2 linked regions of the Alligator mississippiensis genome follow. The protein of the gene in region 1 interacts with the protein of each later gene in a pairwise test. Links are inferred from orthologs where the notes say so. Each region holds a gene or a part of one and is shown on either strand. Other genes may lie near its edges. The genes, in order: DUSP12 and EIF5.

What was found.
Region 2: the proteins of DUSP12 (region 1) and EIF5 interact in binary tests that used the Homo sapiens proteins (3 or more experiments, as listed by UniProt). The two-hybrid records come from large-scale screens. The link is inferred for Alligator mississippiensis from reciprocal best matches to the Homo sapiens genes DUSP12 and EIF5.

The regions. Positions count from the first base shown.
Region 1 is NC_081824.1:241,096,579-241,108,359, reverse strand, and holds DUSP12 (dual specificity protein phosphatase 12), read right to left. Parts: upstream 5,734-11,781; 5' UTR 5,719-5,733; coding exon 5,447-5,718; intron 5,360-5,446; coding exon 5,246-5,359; intron 5,174-5,245; coding exon 5,055-5,173; intron 4,293-5,054; coding exon 4,196-4,292; intron 3,686-4,195; coding exon 3,499-3,685; intron 1,945-3,498; coding exon 1,783-1,944; 3' UTR 1,442-1,782; downstream 1-1,441. UniProt on the Homo sapiens protein: Dual specificity phosphatase; can dephosphorylate both phosphotyrosine and phosphoserine or phosphothreonine residues. Can dephosphorylate glucokinase (in vitro).
Region 2 is NC_081825.1:286,326,067-286,337,098, forward strand, and holds the start of EIF5 (eukaryotic translation initiation factor 5), read left to right. Parts: upstream 1-5,326; 5' UTR 5,327-5,374; intron 5,375-5,504; 5' UTR 5,505-5,697; intron 5,698-7,298; 5' UTR 7,299-7,506; coding exon 7,507-7,578; intron 7,579-7,901; coding exon 7,902-7,983; intron 7,984-8,494; coding exon 8,495-8,667; intron 8,668-9,002; coding exon 9,003-9,114; intron 9,115-9,470; exon of another isoform or gene 9,471-9,597; intron 9,598-10,867; coding exon 10,868-11,010; intron 11,011-11,032.

The sequences.
Region 1 (11,781 bases):
TGGGCTTGGCTTTCATGCTTCAAGATTTAATAGGTCGTCAAAGTCCTCAAGGCTGGTGATAAATTATTTTCTGCAGCTACAAGGAGCAATACCCTTAAATTGCAGCAACAGAAATTCGGGCTGGCTATGAGCACAATTATGCACTGGACCATGCTACCCAGAGAAATGGTGGAATCTCTATCTTTAGAAGTTTTAAGAGCATATTGTACAACTATGTGCCTACAATGGTTTAGACAGGAATGATCATACCGCAAGGAGGGGGTTGGACTAGATCAGTGATTCTCAACTGGCCTCAAGGACCTTTCAGATCTATTAGGTGTGCAAACATAATTCACAAGATAAACCCAGGAATTTCCAATAGGAATCCACAGTGTTAAAAATAATTCTGAACTGCTGTAGCCTTTGAGTTCTTCGCAACAGAAGAATTGTTGTTATATTTCTGTAGACAAAAAGCAAGTGAAAGCTAAGAGTTGAAATTTTCCAAGGGATGATGGCAAGTCTAAAAAGGCTGAGAACCACTGGACTAGATTACCTCCCGAGGTCCCTTCCTGCCCTTTTTCTATAACTACAAATGAGAATGTGCGTAAGATGAACATGAAGCACTGCAAGCCTTTTATGGTCTCTTCCTGATCATCATTTTTCCTACAGCAACTGGAGCCTACCTTCCAGGTCTGAAAAATGCTATCCCAGGTTCAGCAGTATCTAAGTGAGCCCTAGATAAACTTGCAGCACTGGAACCGGAAGCAAGACAAACTGATAGGATACAGCTCTCGCACAATAAGAGACAAGAATTTCTGCCTCCTTACCTACAAATTCCCTGTTTCAGCCATGAAACTGTGTAATAAAGAACAAATTCCCTTTCAGATAGTTCACTGACTCTTTCATGCAGCCTTTAATCATATGGGTCCTAATGATTCTTCAATAAACAAGCTCTTGGCAGAAAGGGTATTTGGGAGTAGCCTTAGAGAAGCAATGTTTTACTGTTATAATCTGATTGATCCCAGGGCAAAAGCCAGGCAATCCCCTTCCTCAACTAAGGAGCCTCAAGACACCGCTGCAATTTCAGATGTTGTATTGTTTACTCTGTATCTGCAGGTCAATCATGGTTAATCTTCCAGCAGGTATTCTGCAAGACCTCAGTCTCAAAAGGATGAATTTTAACAGCATGTTAATCCTTGAGCTTGCAGTCTCAAATAACATCTTTTTCTAAATTAACCTTATTAACATGTTTTTCCCCTCAATAATTCATATAGCATAACAGTCTACAAATTACATGCACCCAGGGAGTTTCATCCAGCCCATCCTAACAAAGCTCTTTTCCCACTGATTCATGTGTTCACTATCATTAGGAGACTGGCTCTGCTGGAATATAAGTGTTGCATACTGCTTTGCTGTTCAGTTTGAAACTAAGCACTCAATTGGAAACAAGGATTTGTACAGCTCCTGTGTAAACAAGTTTAATTTTTCTAACAGAGACAATAAGAACATATATACTTGAACACTGAAGAATAAATCAAAAATTGATGTTTGACAAGACACTGTCCATTTAAAAAACTGCTCCAGCATCTTCTCATGAATTTAACAACAACAGAAAAAAGAAGGATCTAGAATGGCAATAAGCCAATGTTAAAAGTCATTCAGTTGCATCCCAGGAGGGTGAAATCAGCTTTTGCCAAAGAGCAGCAATCACAACTTGATGCTGAGGGTGATCCCACTGTAACAGTCCTCTGTTCTCAAAGCACATTGAGGTCGCTGACAGCAGCAAGCCTCAGAGCCAAGAATTCAAGTTTTGACAGTCTGGAATCCACCAACAGGCAGTGCTTGTATTCCATCTACTCGACTTTTGTGAATCTGGAAGGCAGGAGTCACCCAGCGGCCACAAGAACACTGCTCTCCATGCCAATTGAAGGAGCCCAACTTCAATGTGCATTTAGGGCACAGAAGCTGCAAAAAAACCAAAACAAAACAAAAAACACATGCATTTGCTTGGTCAAAGGCACAGCTTCACTTAAACTTCAGGAAGTTGCAACTCAACAGCAGCCTGGGACTTTCTTAAGTTTCAAATCCATACCCAGCCCTCCCCAGACTACAGAGTCACCTTCCACATTCAAAAGACTGCAAGCTACTTCAGTGCAATAAAGGAATTATTCCTCAACCTTCTCCAGTGGCAGACCACTTCTGGAAACCATTTCACAGCTCCCTGTTTTGTTTAGCAGGCAAATTCTTGTGGGCCATATTTATAAAAGCACTTGACAGAAAAAACAAAACAAAACAACAGAACCCCCCCCCCGCCCCAGAGAGCTCACCTCCTATACATCACCTAAATGAAACAACTCAGCACCTAACTGAGTTCAATACCCATCATCTCCCATTGATCTTAAATTTAGTTCCAGGGAACTGAGCAACTAAATATAGTGCTGAATTTTCAGCTCCCCAAGCAGCAGAGCTTTCTAGAAATCTAGCTCTACATCCTACAAATTCTAAAGCAGGGGTGGGCAAAATGGCCGATTTAGTGGCAGCCAGACTCCATTTCTCAGTAGCCTGTATGGCTGGGGCTGGTCTCCATGGGGACCCGCGCCACATCTGGACTGTGAAAGCTCAAGGCGGGGGTTGCCATGGAGACTGTGGGCTGGACTTTGCCCATCTCTGCTCTACAGAGACTTCTACAGTGAGCCAGACTGAGAACTTCTGTAATAACCACAACCAAAAGGTAGAGCTGGAATACAAAAAGAGAAGATGTGAGGAGGTACAAGAAGGCTGCTGCATGGGGCAAAAGCTGTACCAGAAGAGGTACACACCCTACCATGATTGCCAAGGGACCAGTAAGCAGAAGAACTAAACAGGATGAAGGAGGTCTAGAAAACAGCACGGGCAAGTCATGCTGTATCACTGTGAGGAAAAGAGGAACAGTAGGATTCATCTGACTGAAAGGGAGCCAGAGCCACAGGAAACACACTTGGGTTAGACCAGTTCTGCAAAAGAATGAAACAAAGACGAAGAATGCAAGATAAAGAACGCAATGAAGATTTACTAGCCTCACTAGCATCAACATCTGCCCACCTCAATCCTAACAGCAGTGAAAAAAGTAAATGCCCATGTGCAGCAAAAGACAAGAACTTCTCATGAGGAAAGTACAATTCTAGAGGCTGCTCTAGAAACACATCTTCTGCTCCAGGCTTATGTTTTCACCTTAAACTAAACTATCAAACAGTGGCCTACAATTTAACTTGCTATTGTCATAGCAGATGCCTGAAGCAAAATCCCCCTTCAGTGCCACCTTACCACCACTTGCAGGCTAAATGTGACCATCTTCTAATCTTGGAGCTCCAGAACAGTAGGAAGTGAGAATTAATCCCTAAATTAATCACCTTCAGAGGTGGCTCAAGCTGCGTGGACTGTGAAAAAGGCCTTGCATGACAGCTATAAAACTAGGACACTTAAATCTAGTCAGGGATGCAGACAAGAACAAGAATGCCCAGCAAGCAAGCACTCCCTCACCTGCCCTTCCATCATTCCCAACAATGCTGGCTCCATCCACTGTACCGGCTCAATGAAGTAAGAAGTACATTTATCCTGACCATCATTATGTCGCTGAGCAGAATCTTTAATTCTCTTGTGAGCAAAAGCTGCTGGCCCACTTCCTTCAGCATGGGTCAGAATGCTTGAACTACGAAATAGGGACCGCCTGTCATCCAAAATAACAAAGGATTAGTGGGAACATCACGGTATACCAAGGCACAGGGGCACAAGGAGCCCTTGTCGGCAAGGGATGGGTTTTGTCCAGCCGACACAACCATGTAACAAGGTCAGCAATGGCTGACATGTTCAGCTTCTGGCCTGTCGACCAGACCAAGCCCTTGATGCCATGTCATCTAATATGCAGGGCTCCCCAAGAGTTCCAAAGGGATGCAGTATGGGGCCAATCTGGCTCATGCACCAGCTTATTCATCTAACCCACAGGGTCAAAACTGTGAGCACCACTGGTCTGGAGCCAGCCAATTGTCCCCCACAGTTCCACTTGGTTTCTTATACAGCCACAGTTAGCAAAATCACGAAGAAGGAAGTCACACCTTTTTCAAACGGACGTTTCCAAGTTTGTTTGTTTTTTCTGTTCTGAGAATAGCCAACCCATTTTCCTTATGACAGTTTATTTTGAAAAAAAAAAAACAACCTATGGAGGACAAAGGATATGTACCTGCACTTTCTGCACCTATAGAGAGCCTCATTGTTTGAAGCTGGACAAGTGTTGGTTGGATCAATTGCAAAGACTTCTTGGGGCAAGTCCTGCAGCTCTGCAAAAAGACAGACAACACTAGTTTGGGAACTGGGTGGACAGACCCAGCACTTCCTGTGTCTAGGTAAAGTGTTGTGCCTTTCCCCTCTGCATGCGAGAGCTTCCTTTCCTCACCTTGTTTCCATTTTAGAGGAAGTTCAAAACTAAGCAGCCCCACACAGACATGTAAGACAAGCTCTACCATGCTAAAAGCAAGAAGCCTTGGGTCAGCAACAATCGTTGGCATTGTTCCAGCCTACAGAAGACACTTGGTTGCTTGGGCATACAAAACTTCCTCTACACCATTTAGTGTTGCAGCTACTGAGGCTTTTGCGTGCAACTTGTCACCAGGTGCCAGAGCCCTCCGTGGTCAGCAACGCTGCTGTGAATCCCTGAATCACCCTGCATGTCCAGCTGCAGAATTTGGCCTTATGTCCCCTATGTCTACAGGGAAAGCTGCTAGAAGGGACAGAGAGGGGACTGCTCCCAACTCTGTCTTGTGTGCAGGTAGGAAACCCTGATCTCCAGCAACCTGGGGACTACCTACTCCTCACCAGTACCTGGAGGACCCCACCAGCACGATAGGGTGTCCCAGACTACCAGCACCAACTCTGATCAGCTCCGTGCTCGTGAGGATGGGGGTCAGGCCCAGGAGCCCCCAATTTGTTGCCAGGTAGCCCCAGTGTCAGGGCCCAGCAGGCAAGAGCCCGGCCTCCACCCAACCTGACAGCTGCCCAGACACGTGCTCCCCCAGTCCCAGCCGGCTCCGAGCGGGGCTTACCGGGGTGCTCCTGGGCCAGGCGCTGCAGGCGGTAGCACTTGTACAGCCCGCTGGTCGCATCCACCCGGCACCCCATGGCCTCGTACAGCTCCAGCTGCCGCGCGAAGCCTGCGTTCATCCTGCGGGGACAGGGGCGACGCGGGTCAGTACCCGCGGGGGCGGCTCCGGGGCGGGCGGGGGCCGGCACTCACCTAGCTTCGGGCCTGACGGCGCGGACTGCGGCGTAGGCCTCGGGGAAGCGCAGCCCCTCGCTTTTCATCAGGTAGGCAGCCACCACCGCCGCGCTGCGGCTCCGCCCCGCGTGGCTGCAAAGCAAACGACCCAAGCTCGGCTCGGCTCTGGGCCGGAGCAGCGCACTGCAGCACCCCCGCCCCGCCCCGCTCCGCTCTCACCAGCGCACGAGGGCGGCGCGGCCGGTGGCCTGGGCGGCGGCGAGGAAGGCGGCGCAGGCATCCAGGTGGCTCAGCAGGTCGGCGCCGGGCTCGTCGCGGGCCGCCACGTGCAGCGTCCGGACGCCCGGGGGCGGCGGCGCCGGCTCCTCCACATCCACCGAGAGCAGAGCCACCACCCCCGCCGCTTCCAGAGCCCCCGGCGCCGCGCCCGCCTCCGCACCGCCCAGGTACAACCCCCGCCGCACCCGCACCATTCCAGTCCCCGCCGCCATGGCGGGTTCCGGGCCTGCACGCCCTGCCGCCGACGCCACTCTCATGGCAGCTTCCGGTCCCCTCCTGCCAGGTCACGGCGCCTTCCTGCAGTAGAGACGCGCCGCGCTGGTCTGGACGAGGCTCTTAAAAGCACCAACAATGCAGAGAAATGATGAGGCTGAAGTTGCTGCTTTATTCCGGATTCCCGGTTCCTTTTTCAAAGCTAATCTAGACCCAATAAAAGCTTTTTATTAATGAATTACACATTTTAAAGAGAGAATTGCATTAGCTATACTTATTTACCTATTAATATGTGAATTAATATCCTGCATGAAATACAGAGCCCTAAGTGAAGATCAGATTAGGATGAGATTATGGGGCAAAATACTTCTTGAGCCACCCCAAACTTCCTGTCGATGCACCCAAAGACTCCTGAGTGCAGTCCTGCCCACCCCAAAGCAGTTTGGCCCTGCCAACGGACAGCCTCCCATGCCCACTGTACTAAGTATATGGAGTCAAATAAGGCGCTGGTTTTTGTGTTGGGATTATGGCTGAAAATCCTTGGGCCACCCCACACCATGCTTGGGTATCACAAGAGAACATACCTGACTAGCATCTTGCCCAGCTCAAAGCGCAGCTTGGCTGTGCCAGGCTGCCAACTGACAGCTCCCCCCCCCCCCCCCCCACCATACTGAGTATGGGAATCAGGAATAAGGAACTGGGAATAAGGAACCTACTTCAGCCTCATGAGAAATGTGGAAAACACCAAATTCTCATGTAGCAGGCAACTGAGATTTATGCAAGGCTTTTTAGCCATAGTCCAAGTCCAGGCCTTCTGGAGCTAAGCAACAGATTGAACAGAGCACTTTCTGTGGCACTGGGAGATGTGAGTGCTGCGATTAGGCACTGGCCAAGCAAGTTACAACAGTTTCCCTATAAGGAATGTGCTTGGCACAGTGTCAGAGGATTGGTGCACCATGCTTGGTACAGAACCAGAGGATTGGACAATTTGACATGCAAAAAGTTACAAAAGTAATAGACAAACAAGTGAGAGCAGGCGAGTAGAGGTGATAGGCTCATGGTAGATTTGATATCTTTTATTAGACCATTTTTTTTTGCAAAAATGTTATCTTAGCTTTCAGGCACAAACACCCTTCATCAGGCATTGGAGAAAAACATTGTAAAAGTTCTCCTGGGTAGAAATAAAAGCTCATATTTCATAGGATTTCACAGAGGGGTCAATAGATAGAATACTCCTCTGGGCAGGCAGTTCTTAGCTAGTAAGGAGTCTCTTAGCTCTCTTGTGAGGCTCTGTGATGATGCAAATTTCATAGACATTAGGGCTGGAAGGTACCTCATAAAATCATCGGGTCCAGCCCCATGCCCAAGGGGCAGGAAGGCTGCTGGAGTCAAATGATCCCAGCAAGATAGGGATCCAAGTGTGTCTTAAAAGGTGTCCAGAGTAAGTGCTTTCACCACTTCTGCAGGGAGTCTATTCCAGACTCTGGGGACTCGGAGTGTAAAGAAGATTTTTCTTATGTCCAGCCTAAAATGGTCTTCCCAGAGTTTGTGACCATTAGACCTTGTCTTCCCTTGGGGTATCCTGGTAAAACAGACATTCTCCCAATTCCTGGTGCATACCCCTCTGTAACAGGTCACCTCCCCAGTGCCATCTTCCTGGTAATCCACGCCTTATGGGGGCGCCCTTGGAGCCTTCTTTGGGGTTCTTATGTCCCGCCCTATACTCACCTGCCACGTCTTGATGGAAATTATTATGATGATTTTCTTGTGAGCGGGAGACTGCCTATTTCTTTGGGTAGGTTGGGGCCTTTCACCTACGCAGGCCTGACCCCTGGCTAGGCCTCTCCATCTAAACCAACTAAACAGGGTTTGACTTCAAGGCTCTAGCCTTTTCAGTGTCTTGAGGCTCCTGGCCCTCTTTTCTGTTCCAATCTGGAGCCTGGCCCAGGGGCCCGGGCACCAACCCCACAGCCGAGGGGCCACAAGTTCAAAGCCAGGGGACGGCCCTGAGCTCGCAGCCTCCCAGTCCAAAAAAAAAGATACCAAAATAAAGTTGCACCACAAGCGCACCAGACCTCCCTGGCCTTTTTAAGATCTTGCCTTCAGGCACCAGGGTCTGTGCCCCGCCCCCCCCCCCCCAAGAAGCCACACCCTCGCTGGCACTGGGGTCTGTGCCTCTCCCCCCCAAAAAAGCCACACCCTCACTGGCGCTGGGGTCCCCACTCCATAGTGGGTCCCCAAAATGAGGCCTCCTCCTTCCCCTAATAACCTCACCCAAACCGCCGGTCTTATTCATTAATCAGAAAGAAAAAAAACCAAACAGTCCCATCCATGGGTTATAACCGCCACCAGCTAATGTGATAAAGAAAAGCAGCGTGTCAGCTTACATTCACCGGGTCCGTGCTTCGGCTCCCCACCGTCAGCTCATGTCTTTGCTGTGATGGGGTTGCCGTCTCCCCGGGGCCTTCATGGCTCCCCTCTTACCACCTTTGGACTGCTTCTCCATGAAACTCTCTGAGGCACTCCTTCCCCTCCAGCAGCTCCCTCCAAATTACAGCTCTGCCCAGGGTTTTTATAGTCCTGCCCCTTCCGGTCAGCTGACTAGCTGACCAGGCTCAACATTTAACCCCTTCTTTCCCAGCACTTCATGCCCAGAAAGTTCTGGCCTTAAAGGGGCGGACGTGCCTTCTGGTAACAGGGCTAGGGTCCCCTGTTACACCCTCATATACTTATAGGAAGCCACCAAGTCCCCCCTGAGCCTTCACTTTTCCAGGCTGAAGATTCCCATGCCTCAGCCTTTCCTCATAAGACCTGTTCTCTTGACTTCTAATCATGCACATGGCTCTCCTCTGGACTCTCTCAAGCTTCTCCACATCCTTCCTAAAGTTCAGAGCCCAGAACTAAATGTAATGCTCCAGCCCAGTACCAAGGCTGAGTACAGCGGGAGGATGACATCCTGGGTCTTGCTTGAGATGCATCGATAGATACAAGCCAGAGTTTTGTTTGCTTTGCCAGCTGCATCATTGCATTGGCTACAAAATGAACATGATCCAACAATCATGACCCCAAAATCTCTTTCGGTCGTGGTGCTAGTGAGCATAGCACTGCTGAGCCTATAGGTATGATGTGAATTCTTTTTCCCAGGGTGGAGCACCTTGCATTTCTCAGTGTTGGATGCCATCAGGTTTTGATCCGCCCACCTTGCAAGCTTGTCCAGGTTGGCCTGAATCACCAGCCTGTCCTCAGATGAGACCACACTTCCCCATAGTTTGGTGTCTTAGATTTCATAGACACTAGGACTGGAAGGGACCTTGGAAGATCATCGAGTCCAGCCCCCTGCCCCAGGGGCAGGAAGTCAGCAAGGGTCATAGGATCCCAGCAAGATAAACATCCAAATGTCTCTTGAAGGTGTTCAAAGTAGGTGCTTGAACCACCTCTGGCAGCAGTCTATTCCAAACATTGGGGGCTTGAACAGTAAAGAAGTTCTTCCTTATATCCAGCCTGAAATGGTCATGGAGGAGTTTGTGACCATTCAATCTGGTCATCCCTTGGGGTGCTCTGGTGATCAGACGTTCCCCCAGATCCTGGTGAGCACCCCTGATAAACTTATAGGTGGCTACCAGATCACCCCGAGCCTGTGCTTTTCCAGGCTGAAGAGTCCCATAGCTCTCAGCCTGTCATCAGAAGGTCTGTTTTCCTGACCTCTGATCATGCACATGACTCTCCTCTGGACTCTGTCAAGCTTCTCCACTTCCTTTTTGAATTGTGGAGTCCAAAACTGGATGCAGTACTCTAGCTGCGGCCTCACCAAGGCCGAGTACAATGGCAGAATGATGTCCCGGGATTTGCTTGAGAAGCATTTATGGATGCAAACCAGCATTTTGTGCGCTTTACTAGATGCAGCATTACATTAATGGCTCATGTTCATCTTGTGGTCAATCATGACCCCCAAGTCCCATTCATCCATAGTGCTAGGCAGTGTAGCACTGCCGAGCCTATAAGGATGCTGCAGATTTTTCCTCCCAAAGTGGAGAACCTTGCATTTTTCAGTGTTAAACACAATCAGGTTCTTGTCCACCCATTTCCTGAGCCTGTCAAGGTCAGCCTGGATCGCCCTCCTGTCCTCAGGTGTGGACGCTTTACCCCAGAGTTTGGGGTCATCAGCGAACTTGGCCAGTCCGCGTCTAATACCAATATCCACATACATCATTAATGAAGATGTTGAATAGTATAGGCCCAAGGACACTGCCTTGAGGGATCCCACTGGTCACAGCACACCAGAATGATGGGCTTCCATCAACTACCACCCTCTGGGTCTGACCACGGAGCCAATTCCCCAGCCAGTGGATCATGGTGAGGCCGAGGCCGCAGTTAGCCAATTTTGCTAAGAGGTGATCATGGGATACCAAATCAAAGGCTTTTTTAAAGTCAAGGTATATCACATCAATCTTGTCTCCCTTGACCAGGTGATAGGTCACCTGGTCGTAAAAGGAAATAAGATTGGTCAAGCAAGACCTATCCGCAACCAACTCATGCTGGCTATCCCTCAGCCAATCTGTTAAGAACGGTCCCTTTGATAATCTTTTCTAAGACCTTCCCCGGGATAGAGGTCTATCCCGGGCCTGTAGTTTGTCAGATCCACTTTCCTCCCTTTCTTGAAGATAGGCACCACATTGGCCTTCCAATCTTCGGGCAGTTCACCAGAGCACCAGGAGTTCTCAAAGATCTGTGCCAAGGGCTGAGCTCTGATGCTTGCCAGCTCCTCGAGTACCCTCAGGTATAAACTGTCAGGGCTGGCTGACGTGAAGGTATCCAGCCTCTCAAGGTGTTCCTTCATGAGGTCAGCATTGATGGAGGGTGAGGAATCTCCCTCACCCAGGCCTTCCCATCCCATAATGGGCAGGGGCGTCCCATGGGACTGGTGAAAAACCAACGGAAAGTACCCATTTAGTAAGCTGGCTTTTTCCTGGGTGTCAGTTATCAGTTGTCCCATTTGGTTTAGCATGGGCCCAGTGTTGCCCTTGCTTTTCCTCTGACTCCCCACATACCTAAAAAAGGACTTTTTATTGTCCTTGATACTTGTAGCTAGTTGGAGTTCACTCGCAGCCTTGGCTTTCCTGGTTCTCTCCCTGCAGTTCTGGACTAGTGCAGAGCATTTCTCCTTGGAGGTGGATCCAGATCTTCATCCTTTGTAGGTCTTTCTTTTTAGACAGAGGAGGTCCGCTAGTTCACTGCAGAGCCGAGGGTGCTACTGTGCCCTTTTGCTGCCTTTTCTCCGAGATGGGATACACTTTGCTTGTGCATCCAGGATCGCTCCCTTGAGGAGCAACCACTTGTCCTGAACTCCCCTCCCCTTTGGGTCATGTTCCCTTAGGGCCTCACTGACAAGTCTCCTGAGCTTGTCAAAGTCAGCTTTCCTGAAGTCGAGGACTTCTGTATTGCTGACTGACTCGTTAGCTTTATGGCAGATGGTGAAGGTGATCAGCTCATGGTCATTGTCACCCGGCTTCCCTTTGATCATTAGGTTGCTGATTAGGTTGTCCCCCGTTGCCAGTACCAGGACGAGCAGCGCTTTACCTCTTGTCAGCTCATAGACTTCTTGCATCAGATAGAGCTCATCCGCGCATGACAGAAATCTTAGCAACCGTTCAGATTTGGCTGAGCACTCTTCCCATGAGATGTCTGGGTAGTTGAAGTCTCCTATGAGAACCATGCATCAGGAGCATGTGGCGTCAGCCAATTCCCTGGCGAAGTCTTGGTCAAGCTCTTGATCCTGGGTGGAGGTCTGTAGTAGACTCCCACCATTGTGTCCCCTGTGCTGTGTTCCCCACGGATTTTAACCCAGAGGGTTTCCAGTCATCCACCCTGGGTGCCGGTGTCGGCTTGCAGGGACATGTAGCTTTCCTTGACATTAAGGAGATTAGTTTTTTCGTGGGTGTCAGTTGTCAGCTGCCCCATTTGGTTTAGCAAGGGTCCAATGTTGCCCTTGTTTTTCTTCCGACTACCCACATACCTGAAGGAGGACTTTTTGTTTTCCTTGATTCCCGTAGCCAACTTGAATT
Region 2 (11,032 bases), on another chromosome or scaffold:
GTAATAACAGGAACAAAAAACATCTTCTGCCTATCACTATACCTCTTGTTCTCCCGATTCTTTCTTTATTTCCTCTCTTTAAATAACAGTGTTTGTTAACAGCAAATTACTACTATAGAACAGGGGCACCAGAGTATTTCACAACCCAAAATTTTCAGGAATCAAGGGTTTAGCAGTGGTGGGCCAAATTAATGCTGCTTGCTCTAAAAGCAGGCTCCCACTTGTGAGTAGGACACTGCCACCAATTCCCCCTGTACCCACATTGCTGCCAAAGCCCCCGCTCTGTAGGCTGGATAAAACAGCTTGGTGGGTCAGATTTGACCTGTAGGCCATAGGCTGCCACCCCCTGAACAAGATGAGCGGAGCTGCACAACGGTTGGTGATGTGGAGATGCTGGCCAGGGACAAAAGAATAAACTTCTACTCTCTTTGCTACCAAAACTTTTTTATTTTTAGCATCTGTGGAGAACAGATATCTGAAAGAACCTTGTAGTGTACACTTCATTCCTGTTTCTTGCTGGGCACATGTAAACTACATGATTTCAATATATCCACTTTAGAAACCTGAAGGACTGTCAACCCTGCAGAAATCCAGACTTGTGTTTCCCAAGAGTTTACATATTCAAACCTGACACCTAAATAATTAAGTTATCTCTTCACACTGCCAAGACAGGAAGAAGAGAGCACTTAATTATTTGGGTGCCAGGCTTGAATATTTAAATTACCAACCCTCCTTTCTGACCAGTTACTACATACCTGATTCAACTACTCGGTTGAATTGCGCCCACACAGTAGATTCTTTCACAACACAACTGTAGGTCAGCCATGACGGTGCAGCTACTCTTGCTATACGTACTTCCTGGGTGTGTGTATCACTGTATTTTGGGAAAATCTGGACAGCTTTCAGGGGATATGCCTCAGTGGAGCGCTGGGTGCTCGGAGAGCAGCACTAAGACTAAATACATGCATGGGTGTCCTTCAGTACAGAGCTGGAAAGACATGAATTGAGCAGATCAGTTACATAAGCACAACTCGGGGGGGTTCCTCTGCTGCAAAAAACTTCACTGAACCAGTCATGGGAAGACAACACGTGCAGCTCACAAATCTGGCATGGGAAAATGTTACTCCCAGCTGTGGTTACTGACTGAATGTTAAAATAGCCAACAACATTCCTAATAGATTACAAACTTTCTTAACTTGCGGATAAGCAGGGCCTAAAATTTTATAAACATATTGGTTTATAAGGATTCCCATGCTCTTGTGGCCTGGTATCTTATGTACAAATATCTGGTAGATCCTTAATTATTCCTTTTTCTCATTTAGCTGTAGCATGTCATCATCCTAGCTGTAGCACCTAACTTTTTTGTAGGATTCTTTAGTAAAACCAGGACAACAAAGAACAAAGTTGAATCATTCAGAGCTGAATTAAACCACCCAAAGACATTTGTATTAAAAAGTAAATTTCCTCTAGAGAGGTGAGTCACTGTTGACAATTTCCTGCTGTCAGTAATATAATTGCTGTTAGAAAATAACTCAGACAGCTACTGCCAACCAATAATCTCTTAACTAAAAGAGCTGAGTATAGTTATACATTGCTTAGCTTATACCAGTGAAATGCAAGGTACACAAGTGGCCTGTATTTTGAAGGTCACATCAGCAATTTAAACTGAATTTATGAACTTTGGTACTTGTGCAACCATGAGAGTAAAGAGGGGAAGAGTTATTTTTGCTATCTCATCAAAGGCAGAAGTTTCTAAAATGAACAAAATTCAAATTCTTTTTATTCAGTAGCAGTACCTGAGATCAAGAGTTAAATTGATTTTTTTTTTCAAGTTAGATGACATGAAAAATGAGTCCTCCAAAGCATCAAGGAATGCAGTTTAGCTTAGCCAGTGTAAGCCAGTGTAAGCCAGTGTAATGAGAGACTGTCCTCTGACTTCATTCACATTGGACGAGTGCCACGTTTTATGAACAACACTTCAAAAGGAACCTGTGAAATGATGCCAATTTGTTTAATGTAAAATAAAGATGTAACCTGTGTCCCAGTACCACTGAAGTCATCCATTTGAACCTTTATTCATTACGTCGAATGCACCAAATTTGGGGTCCCTGCTTCCCCTCTGCTACACATAGAAATAATGTGGGCAGCAGCACAAACCTCAGAAGCGCTGTGCCTTGAAACTAAAGCCACAGAAAGAAGGCATTTAGCAAGTTACACATCCAGTACATTTTTGCAACAGAGACATTTCCTGCTGGGCTTTTCTTGCATCCCTCATTCTGATGATTTCTTCCTCTTGCTAATTTCCAACTCATGCCTATATTGGAGAGACACTTCCCTAATTTGAATTCTAAAACAGTATTTAAAATCTCTCCTGTTGAGGAATGTTGCTGTGCCTGGTTCGAGATGACACTGAAAATGTCTCTGAGGACTTTTAACAATCCCTCATTCAGGCAGTCAGAGTTCAAGCCAGCCCTGCATGCCCATTTTCTAAGTCAGTGTCCTGTCCTGAACACTTGCTATTCACAAGGCTGAGCAGAGACGTGTAATTAGGGCAGCAGCCATGTTGTAGGAGGGTCTTGCTAGGAGACAGTATTCAGGGAAACACATATACATCTCTGGCAACTGCATTCCTGCTAGGCTGCTGTTGCTGCTGAGGAAACATTGTTTTCATTGCTGGATGTGACTGATATTTTCCTTAGCAATAGCCTTTGTGTTCTCTAGGAAAATAACATTTGTCAGCCACCTTTGCACTCCAGTGTTGCTCTTTTGTCTGTCAGAGCAAGTCTTCAAGATACATTAAAAGGTGCAAGAAGAGAGCAGTTCCCTTTGTTTGTGTCAGCTTTGTACAGCTGATCTTGAAATCTTTTGGTTTAAACTTAATGTGTACCTGGATTTAAAACCTCCTTTGTATTTGTGTTGGATATTATTCTTATTAAAATCTTAATTCTTCAACAATCTGCCCCTTTTTATTCTTCTTACTCTTCCAGAGATCCTGCAAAATGCTGTATAACATTATCAGTAAAACATGCTCAGTTACAAGGAATCTTTTGCCATTGTCTGTAAAGGAGCAGAGGATACGAATACGAAGAGGTGGTTTGTTATGTGAACTGCTAAAATTTTAATCATGACCCTACTGTGCCTTGGCACTTCCTCTTTATATTACCAGTATATGGCTATAAAAATATCCAAAATATTTAATTACTGCTTTCTTGTGGGTGGGGGGACAGGTCTTTGAATGTGTTCCCCTGAATGCCTTCATGCTGACCCTGCTTGAAAGGGAACATAATGTTTCTGGTAATCACTGGTAATTAAGGAAGTAAAAGATGAGGAAATGGGTTTGAGTTCTGTGTCCTTTACAAGACTAATATTTTTTAAATGAGACTTCAAATCCTGGTGGTATCCACACTTGGAGCCTCTGTCCAGGCAGGAAACAAACTCCCAAGGGAGGTGGTGCTCTCCCCTACCCTGGGGGTCTTCAAGAGGAGGTTGGATATGCATCTAGCTGGGGTCATCTGAACCCAGCACCCTTTCCTGCTTATGCAGGGGGTCGGACGCGATGATCTATTGAGGTCCCTTCCGACCCTAACATCTATGAATCTATGAAACTGGCAGCATTGGTGTGGCAAGTTGCAATCGTCTGCACAGAAACACCTTGGCGCCGTTTTGTGATGGGTCGTTCTGGGATGGGTCACAGCTCACTGAATTAGCTTCCAGGTCCACCCAAATTTGAGCCTCTATGAATGTTAACCCCTGCAAATAAACTTGTTAACACACGGGGAGTTTTAACAATGCACCCCTGATATCTAATGTACAGTATACAGGTGTTTAGCATACATGACTTATGTAACATCAAACCTTTGGTCACGCCTGTACACCATAACTTAAGACCCACCCAAATGGGTCCTGGATAGGATGTGGCATTGCTAGAGACTGTGTAAGTGACTGAGAGAATTGGCAGTGTCGTAAAAAGGGGCTGGGGGCGAACACAGCGACCGCCCCAGGCACTGAAGAGAAGGGGCACTGACAGGCGCTGCCCAGCCGGGACAGGGCGCAGATGGAGCCGCGAGTGGCTCATTTGTGGGGGCACGGGGAAAGTGTGGCTCCCACCTCTGCGTGCACTCCCGGGCAAGTGCGGGGGGTTGTGTGGCCCCTGGATCTGCGCGCAGGGCGAGGGCAGGCTGCCACTGCAGACTCTGCCCCGGGTGGCAAACTTCATTGCTACGGCACTGAGAACTGGAGATTCGCGCCCTTCCTGTAGGCTTGGACCATGCTTGGTTCCATGTCCATACCAGGAGCTGACAGCGATGGGGGCTGTAACCCTGTGTGGGGCAGGGAAAACTGGGCCTTCGTGCCCTCTTTAATGTGGAGGGTAAGCCAGGCTTACGAGCTCATGGCCATTTGTGTGGCTGGTATTTAGACTCCGCGCTCTGCTGGCCAAACAAGTCTCACGCTCAGCCGGACGGCCCTTCTCCACCTGCACGCGATGCGGTTACTTCCAAACGCCCGGCTCAACCTGCTCCAAAACTGCAGGGTTAGCTGCGGGCATCGGCTGGCAGAACCTGGCAAACGGGGTTCAGAACGGGAAGCGGGACAGAGGCAGCCTTGAGCAGGAGACCCAGCACCTCCGCACCCCCAAGCGGTGGGGGGCAGCCCTTAGCAACCCCCCAGCCCAGCTCCCCTCATCTGCCCATGGTGGTGTCTCAGGTTGAGGGACGCCAGGACTGACTCCTCTCAGCAGGCAGGAGAAAAATAAAACAAGCATGTTTTATTGGGGGAAAAGATTCATGGGGGGGGGGGGGGGGCTGGGTCCCTGGCACGTGGCTGGGGGGCACATGTGTCAACCAGGCTCGGTGTGGGGAGCAGTGGGGAGCATGTGGTCTGAGAAGAGCCTGGTGAGGAGCGGAGGCGGAGCCCCGGCACGCGACACGTGCACATGCCCCAGGACACAGGGCGCCACTGCCCCGGGCAAAGGGGGCTGAGACCATAAGAGACAAACGAGGGGGAGGGGGGCGCGGGGCACAGGGGGCGCCTGCCACGTGTCTCCCCCTCCCCGGCGGCACATGGGTCAATCCAACCCCTCCCCCGCGGGGAGCAGCACCAGATCCCGCTTCACTGAGTCATTCCTCTCTCCCTCCCCCCACCTCTTCCTCCAGCTTCTCGCGAGACTTCCCCGCAGTAGACGCGATGTCCTTTGGGGAAGCAAAGAGGGGGGGGCAAGGGGAGGCTAGTGCGGTTTGAGAGCTAAGCGCGGCAGCCAATAGGGTGGGCGGAGGGCGTGCGGCCAGCCAATGGCAGGAACGCGGGGGCGGGGCACGCCGTTGGCTGATTGATCCCAGCTTTGGCGTTGTTCAGTCCGAGCGAGAACATTCTAGAGGTGAGTACGGGGCGGCCATTGCCGGGCTTCCAGCCGCTGCCCCCTCCCCTCCAGCTCCAACTCAGCTGCGCCCGCCGCCGCCACGCAGGTGCCACCGCTAATGATGCCCCCGCCCGCGTGTCTCCCGCAGGTTGTCCGGCGCCGCCGCTGCCCCTGCTGATCCCGCCCGCCCCAGGACGCTCGGACCCGGCGGCTGCGGCGCCCGCCTCCGCCTCTCACCGCCCGCCTATAAGCGCCGCACCGCCCGGTTCTCCTTACGCACTCGGCTTCGTCGCGGCCCGGGGCGAGCAGCGTTGGGTTTATGTCTTTATTGGACGAAAACGGTGAGTCCCGCCTGGGGCGGGGAGGTGAGGGGGGTGCCCGGGGCTCAAGCACGGCGGGGGCAGGGAGGGACGCTGGGGATATTGTGAGGGTCGGGGGGGGCGGCAAAAAGTGGTGGTTCAACTCCCTCCCTGCCCGTCTCCTCTCCGCCCCACGCGACGAGACAAGATGGCGGCAGGGCCGCGCCTCCGCGTGATTGGGGGGGGGGGGCGCTGTGGCGCAGTTTCGAATCCGCAGCGCGGGGGGAGGGGCGTGCTAGAACGAAGCTGCGGCTGCTCCTGGACTGCGCATGCGCGCGGTTGGGGGGGGGAGTTTTTCCTGTCCTCATCTCGGTTTTAGGGCTGACTCAGTACTTTGCTGCTGCATTTATGACTCATCACTGCTGTGAGGGGAGGGAGGGAGGCGGCCATCCTGCCTGCGCAGGCTCTGTCCTGTGAGGAGCAGTGCTGCCCCTGCTGCTGTGGGAGGGTGGGTTGCTTCAAGACAAAAGCAGTAGGCTAGAAAGGAGGGCGCAGTTCAGAGGCACCATCTTTTTGGACACGTGTTTGGGTCACATGCAGCCTTCTTCTTCTCCCCCCCCCCCCCCCCCACCCCAATTTGCTGGCAAAAGGCTCTCTTGTAGTTATGCAGTAAATCCAATTTTAATAATACTGGATCTCAAGCAGTGGAGACCCAGTAATGTAAAAAAGATAGTGTTTTGGTAATAACATAAAGTACTTGGAAAAATGTGGCTTCTGTTTGTTTGTTTGTTTGTTTGTTTGTTTTCTATTAGACTTTCTTCTGGTTGGTGTACTCTAATCATGTCCTGAATAAAAATTTAAGAAAACATTGGGTAGTGCAGCATTAGTTACCAAGGTGCATCGATATACCTTGGGGGATTGCTCTCAATTCTACTTTAGAGTACGTAAATTGGATTAGATGTGCACTTTGCTACTGACTTCCATTTGGTGAATTCCAAAGCAGTCTTGTGTACTTTTTTTAACCCTTTTGGTACCCAGCTAGTTAACCAACTGTGGTAACAGTAAATCCAGCTCTAATACCTGCACTTGTCTCCAAAATGTCCATATAGTAACAAGTCCACTTGTTAACTCTGTCCTTTCTACTTTATATAGTAGCAATAAAATTCTGTTTAAGTAATTGGAATATAAATCATCATAAATATAAATCGTATACAATATAAATCAGCATTTTTTCATATTTATGCTTCAGTTAACTTAATTATTAGTTGCCTGTAGCTGTTCTAATAGTAGGGCTCCTCCCAAGAATGCAGGAAAGGGTTGGGCAGAGTACTCTTAATTCCTTTGTTCCTCAGAAGTAAGTTTAGCAGTGGAAAACTACTTAAAGAACTGCTAATGGCTAAATGAGGTTGAAGAGAGCTGCTGTAAAAACATGAAGTGCCACAAGAATTTTTTGGGGAGGAACTAAAGTAGACAGTTGGTTTTAAAGGTGCACACATTTTTTCCATGATTGCAAAACAACAGAAATATCTGAATTTGAATCTTAATAAAATTAATCAAATAACTGTAGAATAGAACCCTGCACTGAACAAGCTTTCTATTTAATACTGGCAGTCTAAATTGTTCCTTTTATTTAATACTTTCAGAGCTGTTGCGCAGCCATTGGTACCTGTATTGGGGAAACATAGCGTACAAGCAAGAACCTTACAGCCTCAGTGGCGAAAATTTTTTCATGTCAGAGACCGAGAACTCTTGCAGTCGTTTATGTCATCCCGTCTTCTCCAGACAGAAGATACCAAAAAACTGCAATCAAAGATCTCTTCATCTTATTGATAAAGCAACTAATAAGACAAAATGTCTGTCAACGTCAACCGCAGTGTTTCAGATCAGTTCTATCGCTACAAAATGCCCCGTCTGATTGCCAAGGTAACTTCTTTTTTTTTTTTTTAATTTGTAGTCTCAATAACTAGCTCTCAGATTAAGTTAAATTTTCATCCCTATTTAAATGTTTAAGGAATGTGAGTTGCAGAGGTGACAAGACTAGTTCAGGGTCCCTTGGTTGGTCAGAGGTATTGCTTCTCAGCCTCTTGAAGGCTCAGATCACAAGGCTTAGATTCTGTACTCGTATTGTGGTTAGTGCTACAGTGTGCTACATTACCAAATGTAATCTGAGGAATGCTTTAAAAGCTTGTTGGGGAATGGCCATTACACATTTAACTAACTAAATCTCTGACTACTATTCCTTCTAGGTTGAGGGCAAAGGAAATGGAATAAAGACAGTTATAGTCAACATGGTTGACGTTGCAAAGGCGCTTAATCGGCCTCCAACGTGTAAGTATCTTTAATTTTGAAATCCTTGTATTTTGTTTCTCTTTTTGTAAAGTACCTGAAATCATACTGTGTTAAAAAAAAAAAAAAAAAAAGGAGAGGAAGCACTAAGTCATAAATGTCAATAGCAAATGCCAGATCATGAATCAAACCATGAATGGGAAACTTGTCAGCATAAAATGACTAACCTCACATGATGACTGTGGCTTCTTTCTTTGCATCTCAAAATGGCCAAACAGAAGAATCCTTTAATCATAGGTTAAAGGTCTATTACAGTTGAACTTAGTGTCTTTTTTTTAAACTTTAAGACAAGTGTTTGGTAATTTTGCATAACATGCAACGGCTCCTTACTTTATTATCAAAACTAGTACTAGTATTATCAAAACTAGTATTGGCTCACTCTTTCTGTTTGGCACCACATTGAGACACTGTGTTGGCATAGAAGGCAGGAATTAACTGTGAATCTCCAACTTAGTCCCTTATGATTTATTTTCTCTCTCTCCTTCTTTGAAAGATCCTACCAAATTTTTTGGTTGTGAGCTGGGAGCACAGACCCAGTTTGATGTTAAGAATGACCGTTACATTGTCAATGGATCTCACGAGGCGAATAAGCTGCAAGACATGTTGGATGGATTCATTAAAAAATTTGTTCTCTGTCCTGAGTGTGAGAATCCTGAAACTGATCTGGTGAGTACTTTTAAATATTGGTTGTAGAAACAAGACCTACCTCGTCTGAAAAACTGACATTGCCTTGCATGCTCATTAAGCTCAAGTAGTTAATCTTGCACAGGGTAATGTATATGACGTATGACACACAACCTCAGGAATATGAGATCTGACTTCAAATACCATGCAGAGTAAACAATGTGAATTCAGGGTTGTAGGCATAGCTATGTTTCAAAATTTGTGCACAAGGGATGAATTAGGAGGGCAAAATGTTACTTAAGCCTAGGGAGGTTGGTGGTTTAATGTGCAAAATATAGTTCATACAGAGCTTTAATGTCAAACTTTCACTTTGGCAGCATGTCAATACTAAGAAACAAACTATAGGCAACTCTTGCAAAGCCTGTGGCTATCGAGGCATGCTTGACACGAACCATAAACTCTGCACGTTCATTCTCAAAAACCCACCTGGTAAGTGTATTTTTAGCCACTTTAATTAGAATTAAGCAATCTAGGTGTTAAGACGTTGGTTGGTTGGTTTGTTTTTAACTTGTCAGTGCCTGACTGCATGGTGTAGAGGAGTTTGTTTCCCATTAGGAATGTTAGGGTTCATGGTAAAATCAACAAGATAATAACAATGGCAATCAATACCATGAGTAAAAACCATTTCTCTTACCTAAGATGCTAATCCATGGGTGAAGACAGCCGAGAGCCTTGTAAGCAATTGCCTTGTGTCTCCAGATTTAGTCTGTCCCTTCTAATAGTTACTCCCCTTCTGTTTGGCACTTTTTAGTAAAGTCACTAAGTGGCTTGTTCATTTGTTCTGCAAGCAACACTCTGTGGTAGACATCCATGTTGCCTGCTGCAATTTTAAGCTTGCTATAACAAAGAAGCCTAACCTATTCCAGTGGTCTCTGCTTTGTGAGATCATCTTGTTATATAGGCTTGGACAACCTGTTCTACTTGCAGATTGGTATTGCCAGTTGCTTCCTAAATCTAGGGCTGGGTTTCTTGCCAGGCTCTCGTGACAACACAAGCTTTCACCTAGTGGTCATGTTACAGATTCTGACAACAGTACTAGGTGACAGCAACAGAACTAAGAAAATTCTTTCATAGCAATGTCAGTATTACTGTAGTACTAAACGCCCTATAGGTAGCTAAATTGGCTTTAAGGGACAGTTGGACAATCGCAGAGATGTCCGCTATTCCTTATCATAAAAACTACTTCATTTTGTATCGAAACAAACTTTCATGTGGTTCCTGGGATCTGAGAAACCCATGTGTGATTTCAAACACTCCCTTCTCCACTTGCCTGTCGAAGGATAAAGAGCTGAAGAAACTGCTTGTCCAGGGTGTAATAAGTTTCCCATGATTAATCTATTTCAATAGTGTTTTTAAATGAGACCTCCTGTAACTGCTAATAAGCTGCTTCTCTAACCTTGGAACTTTACTCTCACTTTCTTGAAGAGAGAGTTGTATAATGCCAATTGTCATTTCACAGAATAGAATCAAAGAATTGGGGGAGACCTCAAAGGTCACTTTTGTCTAACACCTTACTTGAATGCCCAGATGCTGTTCCTAAAGCACCCCAATCCAGTGCTTATTGGACTTCCAATGTAGTCACTTCCACAACTTGCTTGGGTAGTCAATTCCATGAACAGAAAACTTTTAAAAACGGAAGACTTTGTAGCTGGACAGTAAAACTGGAGTCTAGAAATGAGTCCCTTAATGGGTGACCTAGCTAATGACCCAAGTATGAAAGTAAATGCATCAAAAAATACTTGAATATAAAGATACTGGTATCCTGTATGCAGCTGATCTAGTCAAACAGCCTAGATGATGTGACAGTCCTTTCAGTCATCCATTTCCTACAAGATCTCAAAATGGACCTTGGATCTGATGAGGTAGATCAAGTTGCCTCTTAAGAGTTCTACATTTAAACCTGGCTTTTCTAGGGTTCCAAATAAGAAAAACATCTGGCTGTACTCTAACTTCTGGATGTAAAAGGGATGTTTAGCTTACTTCTGAACACCGCAAGCAGAGTTCAGTCCTAATGTTAAGATGCTCTTCCTACCCGTGATGGGAAGGGCAGTAGTATGATGAAAGGGAGTCTTGGAATACTGAGTCAAACTCAACTCTAGAATCTGGTGTGCTTGAATGTAGAGCTGGTCTCTTTTTGTGCAGTAAGTAAAGGAAACTAAAGTATTGCATCTCTACTTTTAAGAGAGCAGTGATGCTGGCACAGGAAAGAAGGAAAAAGAGAAGAAGAATCGTAAAGGCAAAGATAAAGAGAATGGTTCTGTGTCTAGCAATGAGACGCCACCTCCACCCCCACCACCAGAGGAGATTACTCCTCCACAGTTAGCGGTAAGTAGGCATTCCAAGTTCT